2 linked regions of the Arabidopsis thaliana genome follow. The protein of the gene in region 1 interacts with the protein of each later gene in a pairwise test. Each region holds a gene or a part of one and is shown on either strand. Other genes may lie near its edges. The genes, in order: ACA8 and FLS2.

What was found.
Region 2: the proteins of ACA8 (region 1) and FLS2 interact in a protein complementation assay, tested with the Arabidopsis thaliana proteins (one study listed by BioGRID).

The regions. Positions count from the first base shown.
Region 1 is NC_003076.8:23,115,475-23,119,406, reverse strand, and holds the start of ACA8 (autoinhibited Ca2+ -ATPase), read left to right. Parts: upstream 1-1,720; 5' UTR 1,721-1,942; intron 1,943-2,003; exon of another isoform or gene 2,004-2,176; intron 2,177-2,492; 5' UTR 2,493-2,549; coding exon 2,550-2,693; intron 2,694-2,795; coding exon 2,796-2,912; intron 2,913-2,997; coding exon 2,998-3,034; intron 3,035-3,148; coding exon 3,149-3,264; intron 3,265-3,355; coding exon 3,356-3,487; intron 3,488-3,585; coding exon 3,586-3,675; intron 3,676-3,795; coding exon 3,796-3,865; intron 3,866-3,932. UniProt on the Arabidopsis thaliana protein: This magnesium-dependent enzyme catalyzes the hydrolysis of ATP coupled with the translocation of calcium from the cytosol out of the cell.
Region 2 is NC_003076.8:18,789,723-18,793,654, forward strand, and holds the start of FLS2 (Leucine-rich receptor-like protein kinase family protein), read left to right. Parts: upstream 1-1,852; 5' UTR 1,853-2,079; coding exon 2,080-3,932.

The sequences.
Region 1 (3,932 bases):
ACAAACTGATAACCATAAACTTAGCCCCAAGAACCCCTTATTCCGGTTACAAAATCCGGCATCAGTTAAACAGGAAAAACAAACTTAAAGCCATGTTTGTGGAATCTCTAAACTTCTTACAATCTTAACTTGTAATTGCTTTCCAAAAACTTGAAAAATATAAAACATTAAGAAACAATCAATTTTAGAATTGATTTTCAAGTCTTCTTGACCTCACTTGATAATAAAAAGACTTCGGCAATTAAGACTTATGCTTCCCAAAATTGCATGACGGAGCCTCAATTGAGGTGAATTGAAACAGTCTAAAAGAGCAAGGACCGGTTTAATTTTAAAAGAAACCTAGCTGTCTTAATTTAATTTATTTTTGTAGCATTTTCTCGCCTGTCTAATCCACTTTTTTATTCGACATATTTGTTATATATACCGTACATCTGGACTATACGTATATCTATCACACACCCATATTATTATAGTTTGTAAATTTAATAATAATATCTGACGATTATTCTAATAATTGAGATATTCCGTCACAAATCTTAATTTATTTTGTTACACTTTACAGGTGTTCATACTTAGTGGTGTCGAAAAGCTTTACAGGGACTCATCTACGCGTAATTTAAAAAAGGAGACCCCATTATGATCTTTTCTATATAATTACAACAACCTCTTTAAGTAAAGTAAATTTTATTTTTAGTTGAATTATATTCTTTGTGAATCGTTTATTCGCTTTGCATACGTGGAAATGAACATGATATTGAGTAGGAATCGCTTCTTATTAACGTCTCCCAAATACAAACAATTTTTTCATCATTCAACACGACGTTTTTTGAACGTTCCGTTTCACTTTCCATGTTTCCGCGTTTTTTTGAAACGCAATTTACCTTTTATCGATTCGGCAATTTTTAGTGGATAGAGTTATAAAACAATTAATCAGAATGGTGACTATAAACGAATTATTCGTAATGTTTGTTGTATACTATTGAAGTAGTCGGTGCATAAAGACAAAACGTGCGTTGGTGTTAGTTAATTACTTCTACCAAGGCTCTATTAACAGTATACGATAATGAAAAGTTGAAAACATACTAACTAACATGTATTCACAAGTAAACAATGCCATACTCTAGTAGTCCAAAGTTCAAAATACTCTTTACAGTGTGTAAAAATTCAATATGTGGGCTCGAACTCTGAAATAGTCGAAGATAATTTTGTGGGTTAAGACACCAGAATATGCAATTTTTTTACTTATGTTTTTTTTGTCTATTTGTTAGTAAATGCAAATTTCCAAAATAATTGTAAAAGAAGAGACCATACAAGTAACATGCGAAATAACGTAATAATACATAATACATAATACTTAATGTGACTCCACCACTGTACACGTAAGCCAAACTTTTATTCAATGTTATGATATATTTCAATTTTCATTTTTTTAATATAATTTTTACTTAATTATTAGATGATATGACACATATATTTATAAAATTTCAGTTCCTTAAATGTTATTAAATAATTTAAATAGTACCATGATTTAAATTGGTAAAAAATATGAAGGAAAGCTTTTGCTAACCTTCTTTACTTCTGTTTTTTTTTCTTTTTCTTTTGGTTAGATAGATTCCATTTAACTTAAAATAATAATCCACAGTTTTTTTTTTTTTTTTTTAACACAATAATCCACAGATTTTTTTAATGAGAATAAAACTAAAAAGGAAATTTGATGCCACCAGCATTTAATTAGCGCGTGCCACGTAGTTTAGTTTCCAAACAATTAAAAATTTACCCATAACCGGCCCAAGAACTTTTATTTACTTACCTATTAACCCTAGATCTATATATTTGCTCACTACTGTTTTATCCCAAACTTTAGAGAGATAAAGCATTCTATTAGTTTCCCGGCGAGGACTAGTCACATTTTCCGGCGAACTTACCGGAATTTTCTCTCCAGGTAGAACTTGTTTCTCGTCTCGATTTTCTCTTCAACCGACTACGAAACGAGTTTCGGATTTCGAGAAAAGCTTACGAATAAAAATTTTAATTACTGTTTTGTTTAAATTAAAATTTCGCAGTGTTGGTCGCTTTGTCTCCTGTTGTTCTTATTCTTCGTCTTCTTTAGTCTTACCTAATTTGAATTTTTGTTGACTACTACTGGAGTAAACCGTTTCACAGCGTTTTTCTCGTGGTAGGAGTGACTTCGCGTTCATCGATTTTTTTTTTTTTTTTTCCGATTTTACATGATATTGTTGTGATTTAAGGCTAATGTCAAGGATTTTTGAAGAAATCTGAGAAAATATCTGTGGCTGTTTTGTCGCACTCTGGATTTTTCCCAGAGAGAAGAAGATACTTTGTTTCGAAGAAGATATTTATCTTTTTTTTTTTTCTTACTTTTTTTTTATCCCGGAGAAATTGCTTTTTTCTTGCTTGATATTTCACGTGGTTGTCGAAAGCAGAAGCAACCTTTAAACTGCAAACTTACTTATCTTTTGATTTTTTCTCAGTGGTTTTGAGATTTAGGGATTTGAGTGGTTTTCTTCTTGTCTCTTGCGACTGCAACGATGACGAGTCTCTTGAAGTCATCGCCTGGACGACGCCGTGGAGGCGATGTGGAGTCTGGGAAGAGTGAACACGCAGACTCTGATAGCGACACTTTCTACATCCCATCGAAGAATGCTTCTATTGAGCGGCTTCAACAGTGGAGAGTAAGACCTAGATCCTTCTTAAGTCTGATGTTGTTTCATATTGTGAGATAAGAATGCTTGTTTATCTGTGTTTGAGCTAACAGTGAATTGTGTTTATTACAGAAAGCTGCACTGGTTCTCAATGCGTCCCGGAGATTCCGGTACACCTTGGACTTGAAGAAGGAGCAAGAAACGAGGGAAATGAGACAGAAGATCAGAAGTCATGCTCATGCTCTTTTGGTAACTTTATTTGGAAGCTGGTTAATCATGTCTTTATCATGAGATTGTGTAAATTACTGATTAGCGTCTTCTATTTCTTTATTAGGCGGCGAATCGTTTTATGGATATGGGACGTGAGTCAGGTAATTTTGGCTAACTGTGTACTTTGGTGTTGTGCATTATCTGGTTCTGAATGTGGAGAAGAAAGTCTTTTTGTATAAACTTGTTGATGTGGTCTTTTTTTTTTCTCACTTCAGGAGTTGAAAAAACAACTGGGCCTGCAACTCCGGCTGGTGATTTTGGAATTACTCCTGAACAGCTTGTGATAATGTCAAAGGATCACAACAGTGGTGCCCTGGAGCAATATGGAGGGGTAAGTTTTCAGTCATGAAACATGCTTATGTCTGTTTTCTTATAGTCGTTCTCTAATTATCTTATTGGTATGCGTGTATTTCTTGCATCAGACTCAAGGATTGGCCAATTTGCTCAAGACAAATCCAGAGAAAGGTATCAGTGGCGATGATGATGACTTGCTAAAGCGCAAGACCATTTATGGATCAAACACATATCCTCGCAAGAAAGGGAAAGGGTTTCTGGTATGAAATGCATATTTATTATTAGCTCTATGCTACAAGTTAGGTTTTCCCTGCTCACTTTCTTATCAAGCGTATTGGTTTTTTGTTAATCATTACAGAGGTTTCTTTGGGATGCTTGCCATGATCTCACCTTGATCATTTTAATGGTTGCTGCTGTAGCGTCTTTAGCACTTGGGATAAAAACAGAGGTTTGTGATGAAATCAATTAACTAAATTTGGCTCTTCCCTCTTTCCCCAGAGTAATGTCACCTCCAAATTAACCTTGGTCTTACACAATCTTTACTAACTTGGATAACAATCATCGACAGGGTATCAAAGAAGGATGGTATGATGGAGGAAGCATTGCATTTGCTGTGATTCTTGTGATTGTTGTGACGGGTAATTTAACTTGTTTCACTTTTTTCTTTTTCTTTTTAGGTGTCTACAGACTTGTTTCACTTAATAT
Region 2 (3,932 bases), 4.3 Mb from region 1:
TATATTATGTAAAGATATGATATATATCGTTAAGTAATATTATGTAGTGAAAATCCGTCACAAATCATAATAACTTGTAGTGATCAAACTTCTTGTATATAATCTACTTTGTTCTCGCGAGCACCTTAATCAATCATCCCATTTAAAAAATTTCTTTTTGCTATTAACATCTTAAATGTTAAATCTATCATTGAGCAATGTAACAGTTCTGTGTGAAGAAACAAGGAATCACTTACTTCTACATTGTCTCTTTACAAAGGAAATTTGGCACATGATAATGCTTCGGTTTGGGCAATCTCCTTATATCTTTGCAGACTTGTCTATTACCATAGGTAATCATATAAAAGTTATTATATATGAACAATGTTCCTATGGTAATAGAAATTCACATTTTATTAAAAAAACTGATACGAATAATTCAAAGAAATAAAATAACTTTTATATGATTGTCCATAAGATATAGTCAAAACGCAAAAGACTTTGCTCTAAGAAATATTAAAAAGAAAAACAACAAGACGAGGATTATTTCTTTTCAATAATTAAAACATTAGTATAAATACAATCACATGCTTAATGTAATAATGTGACAGTTTGGCCGAGTGGTCTAAGGCGCCAGATTTAGGCTCTGGTCCGAAAGGGCGTGGGTTCAAATCCCACAGCTGTCAATTTGTTTTTTTCTTTGACTCCTTTGTTCATCTTTATTTTAAAATCAATATAAACCCTTTTCGGACATTCTAAATATTTTGACCCAACCTAATGATATTCATTATTTGTCTAACGGGTCAACTTTCAAGTCTTCAAGTAAACATGATATGGAATTATATGGGTCAACTCCAAGTAAGAACAGTGCATGCATCTTGAAGACAAAATTGATTTTTTTTTTTGTTTTTAATTAATGGAAATTTTGAAATACTAATGGGTCAAGATGAGGTTGTCCAAATCAACTGATATCATATATGACCAGATTCCTCAATAGTCATTAGTCAATACAAAATCCATAATCTTTTTTAAAAATATAATCTTTTTATTTTAAATCGCCTATTTTTTTCCATTCATTTGTCCAATGTGAAAAGCCATAAATCATATATTAAGAAGTTGTGAATTGTGATCATAGGAGTAATATTTCTATCTGAACAAAAATTGAATTTTGTTTTGCTTTTTGTTGAAAGATAAATAAAATGTTTGGCAGATTGTTTGTACAGAACACAACTTGTTGATAAAACAAATTCCATCAAGACAGCTAATGAGCTTTTGATAGTCAGAGCTTTGAAGACGTGTTAATGAATTAAACTGATTAGACCTAAAACCAAATATTTAGAAAGAAAAAAATATGATAATTGTTATGTTATTTAATCAATAGTCAAATACTATGTTGAGTACCAATCATTTCAGTTTCAACGATTGCTACTCTTTTGACCAATAACAAAAAGGTTTTTATTTTTCATTTCTCAAACTCCATTTTTGTTTGTTTTTAGCATAAAAACAGCTAGAATGTGAGTTTCATATGTATTATATACTATAAGAAATCATATAAATTAACGACTAGAACATATTGTTTTCATTCTAGTGGTATATCTGAGTTTGACTAGAACGTTTGGAGGCAGATTAAAGTGATTTCGCCTTGTCAAAACTACTTTGTATATGTTATCAATCAATCGCTCAAAACTAAATCGGAAAAAAACTACATAAATAAGATATGGAAAATGATACTAACACAAACTAGTAAGTAAGTAGTCACTACATATTCTGGTCCCATGAATATGGCTTACATAGTACATACATTGTGAGATTAAATGAATATGATATATAATACAAGCATATAAGCATGTGCATGACTATGAAGTGGGAATACATTTAGTGCCTTTATATGCAACTTGACAGAATTACCAATTATGTGAATAGTGAAACTTATATTGCGTCTTGGCCTTTTCACATCCGTGACATGATCCCTCAAATCTATATCTTCTTGCGGCATATGCTTATATATAAACATATGACTTCGTCTATAGATTTATATCCAGATAATTAATTCTCTCATAATATCTTCTCCACAATTTCAACTCTTCTAAAGTCTAAACCATGAAGTTACTCTCAAAGACCTTTTTGATATTAACTCTCACCTTCTTCTTCTTTGGCATTGCACTAGCGAAACAGAGCTTTGAACCAGAGATCGAAGCTTTGAAATCCTTCAAGAATGGTATTTCCAACGACCCTTTAGGAGTATTATCAGATTGGACCATCATCGGTTCGTTACGACACTGTAATTGGACCGGAATCACCTGCGATAGTACCGGACATGTAGTCTCGGTTTCCTTGCTGGAGAAGCAACTTGAAGGTGTTCTGTCTCCAGCCATAGCGAATCTCACCTATCTCCAGGTTCTTGATCTCACTTCAAATAGTTTTACCGGCAAAATACCGGCTGAAATAGGAAAGTTAACCGAGCTTAACCAGCTTATTCTGTACCTAAACTATTTCTCTGGTTCGATTCCTTCTGGAATCTGGGAGCTTAAGAATATTTTCTATCTTGATCTTAGAAATAATTTGTTGTCCGGTGATGTTCCTGAGGAAATCTGCAAAACCAGTTCTTTGGTATTGATTGGGTTTGATTACAACAACTTAACCGGGAAAATACCAGAATGCTTAGGAGATTTGGTTCATCTCCAAATGTTTGTAGCAGCTGGTAACCATTTAACTGGTTCGATTCCGGTATCAATTGGTACTCTGGCTAATTTAACGGATTTAGACCTGAGTGGTAACCAGTTAACCGGAAAAATACCGAGAGATTTTGGAAATCTCTTGAACTTACAGTCTCTCGTTTTAACTGAAAACTTGTTGGAAGGAGATATACCAGCTGAGATCGGAAACTGCTCGAGCTTGGTCCAACTTGAGCTTTACGATAACCAGTTAACCGGGAAAATACCAGCTGAATTAGGGAATTTGGTTCAGCTGCAAGCACTCCGGATATACAAGAACAAACTTACTTCTTCAATTCCATCTTCATTGTTCCGGTTAACTCAGTTAACCCATTTGGGGTTATCAGAAAACCATTTGGTTGGACCGATATCAGAAGAAATCGGTTTTCTTGAGTCACTTGAAGTCCTCACACTTCATTCCAACAACTTCACAGGAGAGTTTCCACAGTCCATCACAAACTTGAGGAACTTGACAGTCCTAACGGTGGGGTTCAATAATATTTCCGGTGAGCTCCCGGCGGATCTAGGGCTTCTTACAAACCTTCGGAACCTTTCAGCGCACGACAATCTTCTTACCGGACCAATACCTTCCAGCATAAGTAACTGCACCGGTCTTAAACTCCTGGACCTGTCTCACAACCAAATGACTGGCGAGATCCCGCGGGGTTTCGGAAGGATGAATCTTACGTTCATTTCTATTGGGAGGAATCATTTCACCGGTGAAATTCCAGATGATATCTTCAACTGTTCAAACTTGGAAACTCTTAGTGTGGCAGATAACAACTTAACAGGAACTCTCAAGCCATTAATTGGGAAGCTTCAAAAACTCAGGATTTTGCAAGTTTCATATAACTCTCTCACTGGACCGATTCCTCGAGAAATCGGGAATCTGAAAGATTTGAATATCTTGTACCTTCACTCTAATGGTTTCACAGGGAGAATCCCGAGAGAGATGTCGAATCTCACTCTCCTCCAGGGGCTAAGGATGTATTCAAATGATCTTGAAGGTCCAATTCCTGAAGAAATGTTTGATATGAAGCTACTCTCAGTTCTTGATCTTTCCAACAACAAATTCTCAGGTCAAATTCCTGCCTTGTTCTCCAAGCTTGAATCGCTTACCTACTTGAGTCTTCAAGGAAACAAATTCAACGGGTCTATCCCTGCAAGCCTTAAGTCGCTTTCGCTTCTCAACACATTCGATATCTCCGACAATCTTCTCACTGGAACCATCCCTGGAGA